Linked DNA regions of Kluyveromyces lactis. The protein of the gene in region 1 purifies or fractionates together with the protein of each later gene. This does not show direct contact. Links are inferred from orthologs where the notes say so. Each region holds a gene or a part of one and is shown in the gene's direction. Other genes may lie near its edges.

Evidence for each region.
Region 2: the proteins of RCF1 (region 1) and COX4 purify together in Saccharomyces cerevisiae (affinity purification with western blotting; 4 studies listed by BioGRID, with this or other methods). This does not show direct contact. The link is inferred for Kluyveromyces lactis from reciprocal best matches to the Saccharomyces cerevisiae genes RCF1 and COX4.
Region 3: the proteins of RCF1 (region 1) and COX3 purify together in Saccharomyces cerevisiae (affinity purification with western blotting; 6 studies listed by BioGRID, with this or other methods). This does not show direct contact. The link is inferred for Kluyveromyces lactis from reciprocal best matches to the Saccharomyces cerevisiae genes RCF1 and COX3.
Region 4: the proteins of RCF1 (region 1) and CYT1 purify together in Saccharomyces cerevisiae (affinity purification with western blotting; 3 studies listed by BioGRID, with this or other methods). This does not show direct contact. The link is inferred for Kluyveromyces lactis from reciprocal best matches to the Saccharomyces cerevisiae genes RCF1 and CYT1.
Region 5: the proteins of RCF1 (region 1) and RIP1 purify together in Saccharomyces cerevisiae (co-purification; 3 studies listed by BioGRID, with this or other methods). This does not show direct contact. The link is inferred for Kluyveromyces lactis from reciprocal best matches to the Saccharomyces cerevisiae genes RCF1 and RIP1.
Region 6: the proteins of RCF1 (region 1) and COR1 purify together in Saccharomyces cerevisiae (affinity purification with western blotting; 4 studies listed by BioGRID, with this or other methods). This does not show direct contact. The link is inferred for Kluyveromyces lactis from reciprocal best matches to the Saccharomyces cerevisiae genes RCF1 and COR1.
Region 7: the proteins of RCF1 (region 1) and COX2 purify together in Saccharomyces cerevisiae (affinity purification with western blotting; 4 studies listed by BioGRID, with this or other methods). This does not show direct contact. The link is inferred for Kluyveromyces lactis from reciprocal best matches to the Saccharomyces cerevisiae genes RCF1 and COX2.

The regions. Positions count from the first base shown.
Region 1 is NC_006038.1:134,409-136,871, reverse strand, and holds RCF1 (respiratory supercomplex assembly factor RCF1), read left to right. Parts: upstream 1-1,486; coding exon 1,487-1,963; downstream 1,964-2,463. Other genes in the region: GUK1 (guanylate kinase), read left to right, coding at 516-1,094. UniProt on the Saccharomyces cerevisiae protein: Assembly factor that plays a role in the assembly of the respiratory chain supercomplexes (SCs) composed of ubiquinol-cytochrome c oxidoreductase (cytochrome b-c1 complex, complex III, CIII) and cytochrome c oxidase (complex IV, CIV).
Region 2 is NC_006040.1:437,176-439,617, forward strand, and holds COX4 (cytochrome c oxidase subunit IV), read left to right. Parts: upstream 1-1,477; coding exon 1,478-1,942; downstream 1,943-2,442. Other genes in the region: TPN1 (Tpn1p), read left to right, coding at 1-731. UniProt on the Saccharomyces cerevisiae protein: Component of the cytochrome c oxidase, the last enzyme in the mitochondrial electron transport chain which drives oxidative phosphorylation.
Region 3 is NC_006077.1:37,359-39,848, forward strand, and holds COX3 (cytochrome c oxidase subunit 3), read left to right. Parts: upstream 1-1,180; coding exon 1,181-1,990; downstream 1,991-2,490. Other genes in the region: VAR1 (ribosomal small subunit protein), read right to left, coding at 1-447. UniProt on the Saccharomyces cerevisiae protein: Component of the cytochrome c oxidase, the last enzyme in the mitochondrial electron transport chain which drives oxidative phosphorylation.
Region 4 is NC_006042.1:1,525,675-1,528,270, forward strand, and holds CYT1 (ubiquinol--cytochrome-c reductase catalytic subunit CYT1), read left to right. Parts: upstream 1-1,217; coding exon 1,218-2,096; downstream 2,097-2,596. Other genes in the region: YNG1 (Yng1p), read right to left, coding at 1-312. UniProt on the Saccharomyces cerevisiae protein: Component of the ubiquinol-cytochrome c oxidoreductase, a multisubunit transmembrane complex that is part of the mitochondrial electron transport chain which drives oxidative phosphorylation.
Region 5 is NC_006041.1:2,012,936-2,015,313, forward strand, and holds RIP1 (ubiquinol--cytochrome-c reductase catalytic subunit RIP1), read left to right. Parts: upstream 1-1,236; coding exon 1,237-1,878; downstream 1,879-2,378. Other genes in the region: putative E3 ubiquitin-protein ligase HUL4, read left to right, coding at 1-485. UniProt on the Saccharomyces cerevisiae protein: Component of the ubiquinol-cytochrome c oxidoreductase, a multisubunit transmembrane complex that is part of the mitochondrial electron transport chain which drives oxidative phosphorylation.
Region 6 is NC_006041.1:507,937-510,995, forward strand, and holds COR1 (ubiquinol--cytochrome-c reductase subunit COR1), read left to right. Parts: upstream 1-1,221; coding exon 1,222-2,559; downstream 2,560-3,059. UniProt on the Saccharomyces cerevisiae protein: Component of the ubiquinol-cytochrome c oxidoreductase, a multisubunit transmembrane complex that is part of the mitochondrial electron transport chain which drives oxidative phosphorylation.
Region 7 is NC_006077.1:34,436-36,948, reverse strand, and holds COX2 (cytochrome c oxidase subunit 2), read left to right. Parts: upstream 1-1,242; coding exon 1,243-2,013; downstream 2,014-2,513. Other genes in the region: VAR1 (ribosomal small subunit protein), read left to right, coding at 1-310. UniProt on the Saccharomyces cerevisiae protein: Component of the cytochrome c oxidase, the last enzyme in the mitochondrial electron transport chain which drives oxidative phosphorylation.

The DNA.
Region 1 (2,463 bases):
CAGACATCCGAATAATGTGGGAAATATCAATAAACCCACACACCACGCATAAATTTCATATATCACGTGATATCATTGTTGTTGACCAGCCTTGGCACAGGTTATATCAGAGAATATCGCGACACACAATACCTTCTTCTACCGGTACTGTATCCAAAAACACACTGGAACTAGTGGTTACTAGCTACTGGCTCATTGGAGCCATATATCGCTTCCTCATCGGCATTTCAGTCCACATTCCAGTTTCCATACGAGTTCCAATTTCATTTTCATTTTCTGTTTCTAGATTTAACGACGCGATGGGCATCGCCAAGTTAGAACTGAAAAATTATTTCAATGTGACATGTGTGGATCCAAGACATAGATCATTAAAAAACCACCATTTTCAATAAAGCAGTTCGTTGGTGCCACTCTTACGTTTGCGTTTACTCTTTTCGTTTCTGGTATATTTTATTTTTGAATTAGGCGCTCAGCTGGCATCTTCAACGCTTCCCTTTTGCATGTTTATTGGAAGAATGAGTCGTCCTATAGTCATTTCTGGTCCAAGTGGTACCGGTAAGTCCACTCTTTTGAAGAAGTTGTTCGCGGAGTACCCAACGAGTTTCGGGTTCTCTGTATCGTCTACTACTAGACAGCCAAGAAATGGTGAAGTGAACGGTAAGGACTACAATTTCGTTACAGTGGACGAGTTCAAATCGATGATAGATAACAAGAAGTTCATCGAATGGGCACAGTTCTCTGGTAACTACTACGGAACGACTATCGAGTCTGTGAAGGAGGTGACAAACAGCGGCAAGACGTGTATCTTGGACATTGACATGCAAGGTGTGAAATCTGTGAAACAGACCGATTTGAACGCTAGGTTCCTTTTCGTGGCTCCACCTTCTGTTGAAGTGCTGAAGGAAAGGTTGACTGGCAGAGGCACCGAGACGCCAGAATCTCTTGAGAAAAGACTAAATGCAGCCATTGCCGAATTGGAATATGCTGAGACTGGCGCACATGACTTGACCGTTGTCAACGACGATTTGGATGCCGCATACGAGAAATTGAAACAATTCATCTTCGAGGAAGAGAACAAGAGTGGAAATGATTGAGAACTCAGAAATTTCTGAAATATAATATACTACATATATGCATACCGTACCCTTATGTATATTTAAGATTATTAGTTACCATCAAGAGGGAACGAGTACTGGTCAGTGCCCTGTCATTGGTGTCGTGTTAACTGACACCTGTTTACTTTGCCATTACCCTATTGTACAAATTTCCCACACAAGTAATGAGCAAATATCGAAATAAAGGAATAGTAGAAATAAAGTTTCCAACCGATAAAGAGATTCATTAAATAAAGCAAGGCAGCAAACTATCTGGAGTTGATCAAGGCGTCTATAGTTTTCGATACAACTAACTAACAGGCCGAAATCAAGAGAAGACCGTGCTCGTACTTACAGAGATATACACCCAACAACAGCAAAAGAAAACAATCATGTCGTACCTTCCATCAAGTTTCGACTCCGATGCAGATGATTTGGATGAGATGCCATTTCTGGATAAAATGATTTACCATTGTAAGCAACAGCCATTAGTTCCTCTTGGGACTCTAGCTACCACTGGTGCAGTTTTGTTGGCTGTGCTTAATGTGAAGAACGGTAACAAGCGGAAAGCTCAGATCTGGTTCCGTTGGCGTGTAGCCCTTCAAGGGTTTACACTTATCGCCCTTGTAGCAGGTTCTTATATCTACGGTACAAATAAAAACGAAAGAGAATCTCATGAGGAACAACTAAGGAAGAAGGCCAAGATGAGAGAGCAGTTATGGATCCAAGAGTTGGAGAGAAGAGATGAAGAGACTAAGTTGAGGAGACAAAAAGCTGAACTTGCCAGACAAAAAGCTAAAGAAATGGAACAAGAGACCTCCAAACTGCAACAAGAATTGAAAGACCTTGAGGAAAGATTAAAGAAATAGGCTTATTATCTCTTTACATGACTATCTGAATTTTCCAATCAAAGAACAAATTCACTGACGAACAAGAGCCCTGAAGCATCTTTGAGGGCATCGTCATTTTACTATGCTGAATAGCAAACGAAATTAAACCTACTCATCAATATGTTTTATGAAGTGAAACAAACGCTTCTTTTCCTCTCCCAACAATTCTCTGTATATGTATATAGTTTTTTTAATGAACATATTGCTACAATGAGGCATCCAGGGGTACCCACCAATGTCTATTCACTGATCTTCCTATCCAAGGTTTCTCGTTTTCCTCGAACTCATATGTAGAACTAGGTTTCCTAGGATTTCCATGAAGCACACATATTTACTATTGAAAAATCAAGAAAAAGAACATCAAAATCGAAACAATGAAAGAATTAACAGAGCAAGGGTGTCACTTTAAAGCAAGGATTCAGAGCTCTTATCCTACTCGTAGCACGACACTGAACAAAGGTAGAAAGTGTCACTGATAA
Region 2 (2,442 bases), on another chromosome or scaffold:
TTGGTGTATTGGGTCTTCTACTGGCATCATGTTCACTGTCCTACGAACCTTGGCAAGCTGCATATGATGAATATGGGATGGGTGGTCTCATGAATGCTGGTTTCTCTCGTTGGAATGGATTTGGGAAATTTTTGGTCGTTGTATTGATCTTATCTTTAATCTCGAATAATATTGTTAACACATACTCTGCAGCATTCTCCATCCAATTATCAAGTGTGATGTTAGCCAAGGTGCCTCGTTGGATCTGGGCTATCGGATGTACCATCTTTTACCTCGTATGTGCGCTAGTAGGTAGAAACAGTTTTTCCACCATCTTGGGAAATTTCCTACCTATGATTGGTTACTGGATTAGCATGTACTTCATCTTACTCGTGGAAGAGAACGTCATCTTTAGAAACTGGTTCCACCATCTATATAAATTGGAATTCCCCAATGACATAGAAGTGAAACCACATCATAAACTAAGGAAATTACCAAGGCACATCCACAGGTACAACTGGGATGAATGGGACAACTCTGAAGTCATCACAAGAGGATTGGCTGCATCCGCTGCGTTCTGCATCGGTGTTGCTGGTGTGGTACTTGGAATGTGTCAAACGTATTACGTGGGGCCACTTGCCGCAAAGATTGGCGAGTATGGCGGAGATTTAGGTATGTGGCTCGGTATGGGTTTCGCAGGAGTATCATATCCACCACTAAGGTACTGCGAACTGAAGAAATTTGGCAGGTGAACCATTTTCCCCATTATCTGACATTATACACATATAATAGAAACACACATATATGTACACACATATATGTATATAACCTGTCACGCGACGCGCGCCAGATCAAATGAATAATCTCTTTAATATTAATGGCATGGCATTGCCTATATAAATCACATGACCTCTAGCCAACCATATCGCAGAATTCTCACTCAATTGACAACACCCACACTAGATCCTACTCTCGCCGGAAACAAAATAGAAACAAATACGAAAGACTACTCCAGCTAAAAAATGTGTACATCACTATGTACGAGTAGACACCTTTTTTGTATCTTTCCTTCTTCTCCCTGCTCCAATCATACTGGGAAACATGATGTGATTTTTGTACGTTTTTTGTTATAAGCGATAATTTTCATTTCTTGATTTTCGCAGGATATTGGAACCGAATGTATATATATGAATAATATTTTCAACAGTGATTTCAGAGTTTTAGAAAGTAGCTAAAGACGTTTTATCAAGTTTGTTCAAGAGAGTCATACGTTTGTTTCAGAGGGTTTTCTTTCGCCGATTACTTTCATTTGCGAATATATTCAACTGATCACCTTATCTGTCTCAGCTAGCTTACAGTATCCAAGTGGTTCTTTTTGTCATATATTGCTAATTGATTAGTTCATTACAATTCAAATATACCTTTGTTCCATCGTTTTAGATTCACACATCGGAGTATCTAAGTTATCACCTATCAATCCAATCACAAAGAAGAAATAATGTTGTCTCTACGTCAATCCCTATCGAAGTTGTTCGGCCCAGCATCCAGAGCTTTTGCTACCACCAAGGTTGCAGGTGATCAACAAGTTGTTAAGACTGCTACCAAGTTGGCTGAAGTTAACGGTGCTGACACTTTGATTGGTCCTGGTGCCAAAGACGGTGAAGTTCCAACCGAATTGGACCAAGCCACTGGTTTAGCCAGATTGGAATTGTTGGGTAAATTGGAAGGTATCGAAGTTTTCGACACCAAGCCATTGGACTCTTCCAGAATCGGTACCATGGAAAACCCAATCATTGTTGAATCCTACGATGACTACCGTTATGTCGGTGCCACTGGTTCCCCAGCTGGTTCTCACAACGTCATGTGGTTGAAGCCAACCGACGGTCAAGTCGCCAGATGTTGGGAAACCGGTTGTGTATACAAGCTTAAGATGGTCGGTGTTCCTCAAGAAGGTCACCATTAAGCATTTTAATCCTTCCTTCCATATCATTCCCACTTATCCTGGTAAAAAAAGGATTAACAACCAGTGTACCACTATATCATTCTAAAAATTCCAATACAAATGTCAAATACACAAACCTATTCTAAAATATTACAAAATAATAAATTACACAAGCTGAAGCAACAAATTACACAAAAAGTTTAGTGGGGACATATACTTGAACTGGTCCTGCACATAATCAAGATTTGTTTATATGTTTGGAAAGCGGGGAACAGGCCAGATCTATTGAATTTTAAAAGAATGATTGATTCATATTTTATACCAATTGCCTCTATTTCTTTCCCCCCCCGGATCGTTTAAACCAATTAAAGACTTATGTTACACATTGTTTCTCTACATACTACATTTCACAGGTAAGAACTCATTATTTAAATTAAGTACGATTTTATCAATAAAATTTCAAAAAAAAAAGTCTTTGTTTCAAGGTGACACCGAGGGTCAGTATGACAATTACCGATACA
Region 3 (2,490 bases), on another chromosome or scaffold:
ATTATTGTTATTATTAATATTTTTATTAATATTTTTATATGATAAATAATAGAAAAATTTAATATTAACTTTATTAATACTATGTTCAAAGATAGGTTTAGAAATAATTAATTTATAAATTTTATTATTAATATTTAATACTAATAATTTTGTTAATAATTTAGTTACTAATCTATCATAAATAGTATTATTAATTTCTTCAGTTTTATTAAATTTATAAATTTGAGATGATCAAGAATTAATATTATTTAAATGTTGTAATTTTACACCTTTATTACTTAATTCATTTAAATAATCTCAAATATAAGTTTTATTTAAAGATCTATTTAATCTTTTATTATTTAATAATAATAATAATTCTTTTATAGAATTTAAATTGTTTATATTATTAATATTTTTAATAATATTTAAATTTGTTGTATGTTTATTCATTGTATTTATATTTATTTATATATATTGATCGTATAATATATATATATAAAACTATATATATATTATTATTAAATTATTAAAAAATTTAACATGTTTATTATATTTACTACTTATAAATATAAAATAAAATATTTATTATATATTTTATAAATTATGTATATTCCGCGATATCATCATATGATGATATCGCGGGAAAGAGATAAATTCCCGCGGATCCTCTACTGGTAATACCAGTAGAGGATCCGCGGGGTAAGATAATATATTCTATTTATAATTATTATTAAAGAGATAATCTATTTTATTTCCCCCCCCCCCAATCTCATATTATGAGATTGGGGGGAATCGATATATAAACCCCGGACGCCATCGTCCGACCGTAGGGTCGGACGAGGCGTCCGGGGAATTGTATTTATTTATATAGATCTATTATATATAATAATATAATTATTAATCGCCAAATACCCCTATTATAGGGGTATTTGGCGATACTAGATATATATTTAATATTACTAATAATATACTATATATAAATAGTTTTCATAATTAACTTTTCCCCATTGCGGACTCCTCCCTTCGGGGGGGGGGGAGTCCGCAATGGGGTTTATAAGTAAGTATAATATAATAATAATTATATTAAAATATAAATATTATCATATATATATATATTATATATATATATTAAGTAATATTATTTCTATAAATTAAATTAACATTTAAATTTATAAATGTATAGATTATAAAAATATTTATGACACATTTAGAAAGAAGTAGACATCAACAATTTCCCTTTCATTTAGTAGCTCCATCACCATGACCAATTGTAGTATCATTTGCATTAATGTCATTAGCATTATCATTAGCTTTAACTATGCATGGATATATTGGACATATGTATTTAATTTATTTATCAATTTTAACAGTAACATTAAGTGCTACATTATGATTTAGAGATATTATTGCTGAAGCAACATATTTAGGAGATCATACAATTGCTGTTAGAAAAGGTATTAATTTAGGTTTCTTATTATTCGTAGTATCAGAAATTTTAATTTTCGCTGCATTATTCTGAGCTTATTTCCATTCAGCTATGAGCCCTAATATTGAATTAGGTGGTGTATGACCTCCAGTTGGTATTCAAGCTGTACAACCTACAGAATTACCTTTATTAAATACTATTATCTTATTATCTTCAGGTGCTACTATTACATATAGTCATCATGGATTAGTAGGTGGTAATAGAAAAAATGCATTATCAGGATTATTAATTACATTCTGATTAATTGTTATTTTTGTTACTTGTCAATATATCGAATATACTAATGCTACTTTCACAATTACTGATGGTGTATATGGATCAGTATTCTATGCTGGTACAGGATTACATTTCTTACATATGGTTATGTTAGCAGCAATGTTAGGTATTAATTATTGAAGATTAAGAAACTATCATTTAACAGCTACTCATCATGTAGGTTATGAAACAACAGTGTTGTACTGCCATATTTTAGATATCATTTGATTATTCTTATATATTGTATTCTACTGATGAGGTGTATAACTCATCAGTACAATATATAAGAATATCTTTAAACAATAATATTCTTACCTTTTTTATATTAAATATATAAATAAATATATAATATAATATTAATATAATACTATTATAAGTATTGCCCGCGGCAATCCTAAATAGGATTGCCGGGGAATTAGAACTACCCGTGGCACCCCCCCAAGTATATCCTAAAAAGCCCCCCGTCAAATATATTATAATGTGTCCTAGATATATTTATTTATTATGACGACTATTAATAATATGAAGTACAAGCCCAATGTCATCAGGGGGGAGGGGGGGGATTTTTTTTTTTTTTTAAAAAAATAGTTCGTAGCGTACTATCATTTTTTTTTTTTTTGGGGGGGGGGGGGAGGGTGAAAAAAAAAAAAAACCCCCCCCCTCCTCTTATTATCCCTCATATCCGAAGTGGTACTTAACTCTAAGAATAAGACACTAGTTTTTTATTTATAATCGTTATATATCTTTTTCCTCGCTCTCTTTTTGTT
Region 4 (2,596 bases), on another chromosome or scaffold:
ATCGTACCTTGCCTTAATCTGAGAGAATCGCTCCAATTCTTGTTTTTCAAAATTGAGCCGTGAATGTTCTTGCCGTACTAACTCTAAGAGATGTTGCGCTTGTCGCAGCATCTCTTCTGAATGACATCCATCTCTATTAGTATCACCTATATCCAATGATTGTATAGTCCAGAGGGTGCGAATCACATCGCATGGTAAATGGTCCAGTGTACTGAGAAACCCGTACCTAACATCTTCCATTGTTCTTGAGCTGTTTCCTTCTAGCCGATTAACTAAGACCAGAATGGTCAATTCTATTCTAGGCGTTAGCATGTACTTACTCTTTCTTGAATGGCTTTTGCCATATGGATATGAATGGAAAGACGTTTTACGTTTTCCCAGAAGGAAAACATTCACGTGACAAGTCCCAGTCACGTGAATGACATTGATGTTTTTGGGATATGGAGTTCTGACCAATCACATCGAAGAACGTGCCGTCTTCTCATAAACCTCCGCACATATGGATATTTTCCCGTACTTAGTGACTTTTCGTCGGGAATATCGCCCTTAACACGCATCCTCCAGTGCGCTTAGGATAGAAAACCTTCAGAAAAACATCGCTTTCGAAAAATAAAAAAAAATACTTTAAACATAATCAATCACAAACAATTATCATTGGATTGGACAGAAAACTTAGCAGAGAAATGCTCACAGACAGCGAAAGGGAAAAAAAAAAACGGCTTGAAAATTTTGGGAATCGATTTTTTCTCTATGTAAAAAGCGATATAATGAAAAATATCTACAAAAATATAGTATATAATTCTTTTCAAACTAGAGAAAACTTTTTGGAAACGATATACATAGATTATTTATATATACGTTTAGTTGGTTATAGTATTAACCAGGGATTTAGTTTGCGCTGATCGATCAATCAATTCAACGGATTTGATTTAATATTTATTTTTGAAAAGAACGGAATAAAAGAAGCCTGCGTCTTTTAAATTTTTGTCCTTTACCTAACTGTCTATTTGTTCGTCTTTCTGGTACAGATATTAAGAAAAGAATAATAATACATTCTCAGGATATTATCCATTGTCTGTGTGATACGAATATAAATTCAAGAATATCAGCTTTGATTCATACAAATAGTTGTTAGAATATCAAAATTCGGGACATTTTTATCTTTTAGAAGAGAATTCAATTAATAGGAAACTAAAGTGATATCATAATAATAAACGATGTTCAGATCATTTTCTACTGCCGCTAAACAGGCCGTAAAAGGTACTTATGTTCAAAGAGCCATTGTTGGTGGTGCTGCTGTTGTCGGTATTGGTGCTTCAACAATGTTGTATGCTGATTCCTTGACTGCTGACGCTATGACAGCTGCTGAGCATGGTTTGCATGCCCCAGGTTACGGTTGGTCTCACAACGGTCCATTGGAAACTTTCGACCATTCTTCTATCAGACGTGGTTACCAAGTTTACCGTGAAGTTTGTGCTGCATGCCATTCTTTGGACCGTGTTGCATGGAGAACCATGGTTGGTGTTTCTCACACTAACGCCGAAGTCAGAGCCATGGCTGAAGAGTTCGAATACGATGACGAACCAGATGACCAAGGTAACCCAAAGAAGAGACCTGGTAAATTGGCTGATTATGTCCCAGGTCCATATCCAAACGAACAAGCTGCTAGAGCCGCTAACCAAGGTGCTCTACCTCCAGATTTGTCCTTGATCGTCAAGGCCAGACACGGTGGTCCAGATTATATCTTTGCTTTGTTAACTGGTTACCCAGAAGAACCACCAGCCGGTGTTGTCTTGCCTCCAGGTGCCAACTACAACCCATACTTCCCAGGTGGTTCCATTGCGATGGGTAGAGTCTTGTTCGACGATTTGGTCGAATACGAAGACGGTACCCCAGCCACTACTTCTCAAATGGCTAAGGATGTTACCACTTTCTTGCACTGGTGTTCTGAACCAGAACACGATGAAAGAAAGAGATTGGGTCTAAAGGCTATGATCGTATTGTCCTCTCTATACTTGTTGTCCGTCTGGGTCAAGAAGTTCAAGTGGGCTTCTATCAAGTCTAGAAAGATTGTCTTCAACCCACCAAAGAAATGAGTTTTTTTGAATATTAATGTCGAAACGAATAAAGACTAATTCATATCAACTCTTTCTATTTTATTCTCTCAACTCTCTACTTCTGTTTCTCCCCATTTCCGGAGAAACTTGCAAGGTCTCTTCTTTTTTGCTACTTGATTGATCAGTATTTGATTGTTGGTAATCAAATGTGATCTTAATCATTTAGATCAGAGATACATCAAATATATTCATCTTTCCACCCATACATCCCACACCGTCTGACACATAAAAAAGGATTCTAACAAAACAAAATGGCTTGACCATCAACCATGCTTAAAAACATCTTATAAAGAGGGAAAAGGAAGCTCGATTATCAAGAATGAAACGGTGAGGATTTAAATGAAAACTTTTTTTACGAACAACCCCTCTCTTTATTCTCATCTTCTGAGAATATGGTACTTCGGGGGAACAAATAGTGTTTTTTTCTTACGAATTAGAAAGAATTGAACCTCCTCCTTTGTACGTCATAATACTACTTT
Region 5 (2,378 bases), on another chromosome or scaffold:
TAAATTTTTATATGAATGAGGGGGTCTCATCGAGTTTTAGTGCATTCCAATCCGGGTTTACAAGAGTCATCGGGGATGGTTTGGCTTTCCCGATGTTCAAAAGTTGTGAAGTAGAAAGGCTCATCTGTGGCAGCATAGAACAAGACATGGATTTCGAACAACTTCGCGCTGTGACGAAATACCAAGGCGGATTCCATAACCAAACCCCGGTAGTGGAATGGCTATGGGAAATACTACCACAATTATCCCATGAACAGCAACGTCAATTTCTCCATTTCGTGACTGGGAGTGACAGAGTTCCAGTGACGGGACTTGCGACGCTTCCGTTCAAGGTAACCCGCACAACGTCCGGATCACATGATCAGTTGCCCACTGCCCATACCTGTTTCAACGAACTCTGCTTGTACGAATATGAGTCACGTGATACTCTTCTTCTGCGATTGGTGACTGCCCTCGAAATGTATGAGGGTTATGGGTTTAAATAATGTCAGCAACAAACATACATTAATATAATCACTACAAACGAACCAATCATATCGTGAACCAGGCTTTACAGAAAAACCTGCTTCCCTTGAATAACCAGAAAACACAAGGAAATGGACACTTACAGCTACTATGTGAAAGCCGTTAAATGCGAAGCGTTTTACTGACACTAGGCCCAAAGGCCCTAGTGTCAGTTATCATTTCCACCAAGAAAATCTTCCTATACTTGACCATTTACGCAAATAAAATTGTATACTTGTAAATTGGAAAATAATAACCACACCAGGAAGTTCTGCCTCGTCCCAGCTCATTTACACTGTCCATTCCTGTCTGGTCGAATTATATCTTGTTTAATCCTTTAGCGCTTCTTACTATTGGCTTTTTTCCCAATCTGAAATTTTTCTTTGTTTTTTTTTTTTTTGCTTCCTTCCGCACTTATTAAGCTGCAATGGCTTCTGTTTAATATGGATAGAGATAATTTGATAATTTCTCTGAATAAAATAAAATAGAAAAAGATTTAGTACAATCATTTTATTATTACTTTCAGTTCCAACAACATTTTTGCATTGATATATATATTTTATAATCTGGCTTGGTGATTCATATCTGTGTATATATTTATTGATACTCCGAGAGTGCTTTGCTGTTGTGATTAAAGTCGATATCATAGAAACGATTTCTCCGAAATAAGAACGGGAAATTAGTACGAATAATACACTCTAGCGATATATCCATAACTAACTAATATCAAAAATGTTGGGTTTAAGAAACGGTTTGAAGACTGGTTTGAAGTCTGTTGCTCCAGCCAGATTAATTTCTACTTCTGCAGTTGCTGCCAAGTCTACTTACAGAACTCCAGATTTCGGAGACTATATCAAGGAGAATAACGATGCTGACAAAGGTCGTTCTTATGCTTACTTTATGGTTGGTTCTTTAGGTTTGTTGTCCTCTGCCGGTGCCAAATCCACCGTTGAAACTTTCATCGCTTCTATGTCTGCATCTGCAGATGTTTTGGCTATGGCTAAGGTCGAAGTCAACTTGGCTGCTATTCCAGAAGGTAAAAATGTCGTTGTGAAATGGCAAGGTAAGCCAGTTTTCATCAGACACAGAACCGACCATGAGATTCAAGAAGCTAACAGTGTTGATATGTCAGCTTTGAAGGATCCTCAAACTGATTCTGACAGAGTTCAAAAGCCAGAATGGTTAGTCATGTTGGGTATCTGTACTCATTTGGGTTGTGTTCCTATCGGTGAATCTGGTGATTTCGGTGGTTGGTTCTGTCCATGTCACGGTTCCCATTACGATATCTCCGGTAGAATCAGAAAGGGTCCAGCTCCATTGAACTTGGAAATCCCTCAATATGAATTCGATGGTGAAAACTTGATTGTCGGTTAAGCGCAGAAGGAAAGCTAAAAAAAGATTATATTATGTTGATAAATTGTTGAAATAGGCTACCTTTTTTTGCTATTTCTCAAATTTAACTCTCTTCCTTTTTCTCTTTCTCTTTGTCCTTCTCACTCCAGCTTTCACTAATAAAATTCTTTATTCCCATGTTGATGTCTCCTACTCCCCCCATGTATTTTCCAAGTAGGATTCACAACCAAGGTCAATATCTTTTATGCTAAAGTTTGTCATATTGGAATCGTGTAAGCTCGTTTTTTCACGTTCCATCATCACTACCCGATTTATTATTATTTATTCATACAAACATTTTTGAAACCACAACTACCCGTGCCCCCATAGCTCAAGCAAACTAAAAGGATAGCAAGCATGAAATGCTTTTGAAGCATTGTTCAATTGTATGTCATCACTTTTCCTTTTAACTGCACTGAGAAACAATCGCATTAATACCTGAATGACCACATCAGGCTACTACCGTGATTGAAACCCTTTTA
Region 6 (3,059 bases), on another chromosome or scaffold:
TTTGCGGGAATAAGCTCCCTTCTAAATTTCTTAGAAACCTTGCTTGAAGAAGTCGTAAATACATGCAGGGATAGTTGGCGAATGAAATGATGATTTTATTTCCGAAGAGTAAATCCGAATGGATATTCGTTGCGGTGTTTTCAAGGCGAGAATCGAACACTTACACTGTACGCACAAACCACCAGCAAGCAAGCAAGTAATCAAAAAAAAAAAAAGTACTCATTTGGACTTTGGTACTTACCCGAATCTTTCTATTGTGCGGGTAAGTGTAATTTTATTCACGTGAGTCGAATTTCAATCTCGGTATTTGATCATCTTTGACGAACCAATGGAAATCCAGTTCGGGCATCGTATTTCACGGTTCATTTTTCATTCAAAGTTTACCGCTTACCATAGGAAATCGAGCATTTCCACTGTTTATTATGGGAAAAGAAATGCTGGTACCGATACTTCCGTAACTGCGAGATGAGCGAGAAAGAGGGATATGCAATCCCAAAAATGTCGATTTGATTGGAAATGTTCGAGCAGATGGAATTAGCAGTTTTGGGGCTAAATTCTCGTCCCGAAAAGTACTCGCTACTATGTAAATTTTTGTTTTTCGGACCAGTTTCTCGGCCAGAAACGATTTTAATAATTGTTCAAAGGGGGTCCCCTATTAATTATGTGGACAGGTCGTTGTCCAATGAAAGAAAATCTCTATGCTACAGAGAAGACAAAGAAGAAGAGGTAAAAAAAAAAAATTATGGAAATATCGAAAAACTAGACAGCGCTCTCAGTATCAACATTTTTCACTTTTTTCATATAGTGTAACCTTCCAAAATTAAAAAAAAATTAAAAGTAGTTAGATAAATCATTGATATTTGTTTAATGAAAGTACACTAACTTTATTTAGACCTGTTTATAGTTTTCTACTCTTGTATATTGCTTCAGTCAAGTGTGCACAATTTTAAGGAAATTGAGAATTCAGTTAGGCTAAAAACTATCCAAACTTTGCTTTATATTTTTTTCAGTGAAATACCACTATACTGTTTTTTGAATCGATAGTATACCAACAGAAAGGTTTCCAAGGAAAAAAGTAAACGAGAATTATAACTTCGAAGGTATTACATTTGGGAGCTCATTGACTTGTTTTTGATCCCGTATTCTATTTATTTTGCACGTACAAATTCAACACACTATATTGATTAAACGGATTATAACCAATTATTTGCCATAAGAAAGATGTTGAGAACCGCTACTAGATCTTCAATCTTGAAGAGAACCATTGCCACTCAAATTACCCCAAAAGCCATCGTCACCGAACTATCTAACGGTGTTGTTGTTGCTACTGAACCAAACAGCAACTCTGCCACTGCTGCGGTCGGTTTGGTGTTCGGTTCCGGTACTACTGCCGAAAACCCATACAACAACGGTGTTTCCAACTTGTTGGCTAACTCCTTTGTCAACTCTTCTATCAAGGATGCTCAAAAATTGGGATTCTCCTTAGAAACCAAGGTTGGCAGAGACCACCAATCTTACATTGTTAACTCTCAACCAGGTCAATATGCTAAGGCTCTAGAATTCTTGCAATCCAAGCTTTTCGCTCCAATTGAGGACTCCGTCTTCGAAAGTTCCAAGAGAGCTACTGTAGACACTGTTGCCAAGTTCGAAGAAACTGAACACGAACAACGTGTTTTCGAACACTTGCACGCCACTGCTTTCCAAAACACTCCATTGTCTTTGCCAGTCAGAGGTACTGTCGAAACTCTAGAAGGTTTGGAAAACATCGACTTGTCCAACTTCGTTCAAAACCAATTCAAGGCAAACAACTCTGTTATTGTTGGTACCGGTAACGTTAACCACGATGAATTGGTCAAGGCTGTTGAAACTAAGCTTTCTTTGCTATCTGGTGACAAACCAGTGCCAAAGAAGAAGTCCACTTTCTTGGGTTCTGAAGTCAGACTAAGAGATGATACTCTACCAAAGGCTTGGGTATCTATCGCTGCTGAAGGTGAACCTATCAATTCTCCACAATACTATGTTGCTCAAGTCGCTGCTGAAGTCTTCGGTACTTTCGTTGCTGCTGAACCAGCTTCCAACCTACAAGGTGTTAAGTTGATCGACGAAGTTAACGAATACCACTTGTGTGACTCTTTCGAACACTTCTCTGTCTCTTATAAGGACTCCGGTTTGTGGGGTTTCAGAACCACCATCACCGACCCACACAACATCGATGAAACTGTCCATTTCACTTTGAAGCAATGGAACAGATTGTCCATCTCTGTCACCGAAACTGAAGTCGCTCGTGCTAAGTCTTTGTTAAAGTTGAAGTTGGCTTCTCAAGTTTCTACCAACGCTGCTGCTGCTAACTTGTTGGGTGCTCAAACCTTGGTTTTGGGTGCTAAGCCAGCCTTGGCTGAAGTCTTCACTAAGATTGACAAAATTACCTCCAAGGATATTAAGGCTTGGGCTTCCGAAAGATTATGGGATCAAGATATCGCTGTTGCCGGTACTGGTAAGATTGAAGACTTGTTGGACTACGTCAGAATGAGAAACGACATGAGTATGATGAGATGGTAATCAAACTAAAAGCCGAGTCTTAAGATATTTTAACAATTCTTTTTATATTATATTCTCATTTCACGACGGTCATTCTAAAAACAATTCTCTCTTTTCTACTCGACTGAGTAGAATTACTCCCTGTAACATTTACTTTTGAGTTGTTATAACCATATCACTCGATGAGTAATAAGTTACAGTTTAATTTCATGTGTGTATATTCCCCCAAAAAAAGAAATTTGTCACGATCGATTTATATCAATATTTTACTGTTTTGGACTAAAGTCTAGGGTGTTTACTGGCGCATTCGATTTTTCGCTCTGTCACAGCTCCTCAAGATCAATACATTTAATGAACATAATGTATTTTTTAATTCCAAATGATATTTGAAAATTTAGGCTAAATCGAAATAAATCAAAATCTCGCTCATTATTCGTCGAAACAAAAATATGAGTTCAATGTCCTTATTTATGATACTGTCATTTACTGGTGAGCAATTGAATACATTTTAACCATCAAGA
Region 7 (2,513 bases), on another chromosome or scaffold:
GAAATTATATAATATTATTTATGAAAATAATAATATTAATACTATCCCTAATAATATTTTAATGTTTAAATATTTAGTAGGATGATCAATTCAATTAAAAGGTAGATTATCTAATAATAAATCTATTTCTAGATCTAATACAATGAATATTTTAAATGGTACATTCCAAAACTATAAATATATTTGAGGTAATCAAATGGTTAATAATTATAAATTAAATTATATCCCTGTTAACCATAATATTACTAATATTTCTGATGTTAATAAAAATGGTAAATATAATATTAAAGTTAAATTAAATACTATTTAATTTATTAATTAATAATAATAAATAAATAATCAATATTCTTCCCCCACGCGGCATTACCCTAGGGTAATGCCGCGTGGGGCTTCTTTCTTTATATTATAATTATATAATTATATAATATATAATAAATTAATATATACATATAATCCCCCCTTCATATTATATGAAGGGGGGGGTAAAAATATAAATATTTTATAATATATAATAAATTAATATATATCTTTCCCGCGTTCTCCTTACTATTTCCTTAAGGACCTCTAAATACTAATAAAAATTAATTTTATATTATTAATTTTATATATAAATAAATATATAATATACATTTTCCCGCGGGGTATAATACTTATTATTAGTATTAATAATTTATTTATTTATTTATTTATTTATTTATTAATTTATTTATAATACTTTTCCCGCGGACTTATTCCCTGGAATTCCAGGGAATAAGCCGCGGGGTGTATAAATAATTTTATATACTCTTCTCCCGGGGACTCCTTCCCATAAGGTGTATACCTGGGAAGAGTCCCCGGAGTTAATATAATTAATAAACCCCACCCCCTTTAAGGGGGGTGGGGAGGAATACGCAATTGGGGGAATTTATAATAATTATTATATAATATTATTATATAGATATAAGTAAGTATAATATTATTATAATAATAATAATAGAGATTAGCTTAATTGGCAGAGCATTCGTTTTACACGCGAAGGACATGAGTTCAAATCTCGTATCTCTAATATATATTAAATATATCAATTAAAATATAAAAATTTAATAATAATATATCAATATACTTATTTAATATTATTATAATTATTTATAATAATTTATTATTAATAAGTTTTTTTCCTAATTGCGAACTCATCAAAACATTAGTTGGATGAGTTCGCGGGAGAATAATATATTAATCAATGTAATATCTAATATATAGAATATATATAGATTAAAAAAAATTATAAATATGTTTTATTTATTAAATTCAATTATTATGAATGATGTACCTACACCTTATGGTATGTATTTCCAAGATTCAGCTACACCTAATCAAGAAGGTATTTTAGAATTACATGATAATATTATGTTCTATTTATTTATTATTTTAGGATTAGTATCATGATTATTATTTACAATTGTAAGAACTTATAGTAAAAATCCTATTGCTTATAAATATATTAAACATGGTCAAACTATTGAAATTATTTGAACAATTTTCCCTGCTGTAATTTTATTAATTATTGCTTTCCCTTCATTCATTTTATTATATTTATGTGATGAAGTTATTTCTCCAGCAATGACTATTAAAGCTATTGGTTTACAATGATATTGAAAATATGAATACTCAGATTTCATTAATGATAATGGTGAAACAGTAGAATTTGAATCATATGTTATTCCTGAAGATTTATTAGAAGATGGTCAATTAAGATTATTAGATACTGATACTTCAGTAGTAGTACCTGTTGATACACATATTAGATTTGTTGTTACAGCAGCTGATGTTATTCATGATTTTGCTGTACCTAGTTTAGGTATTAAAATTGATGCAGCTCCTGGTAGATTAAATCAAGTATCAGCTTTAATTCAAAGAGAAGGTGTATTCTATGGACAATGTTCAGAAATTTGTGGACAATCACATTCAGCTATGCCTATTAAAATTGAAGCAGTTTCATTACCAGCATTCTTAGAATGATTAAATGAACAATAATTATATAATTTATAATTAATAAATTATATATAATAATATTCTTTCCCTGCAAACCCTACAATATTATTAGGGGTTTCCCCACGGTCACCTTCCCGACCCACAAGGAGACGGGGATTCTTACTTATTTTATATCCCGCGGATTCATGTTATGAATCCGCGGAATTATTATATTATATTATATTATATTATATTATATTTTTAAATATAATAATAATTATATATAAATAAGAGTATAAAAATAATTTATTGATCTCATGCTATACTCCCCCCCCTTCCTGTCGCACACGATTGGTGCGCAGATATTGAAGGGGGGGAGTAGGGAGTAATAAATTTAGGATAACCATTATTATAATAATTAATTATTATAATAATATTTTTCCCCCGCGGTCTCTCACCCTACGAATGTAGGGTGATGAGCCGCGGGGTAATTCTTATTTATTATATATTATAATATTAATAATAAACCCCCGCGGACTCCTTTAAAGGAGTCCGCGGGAAAA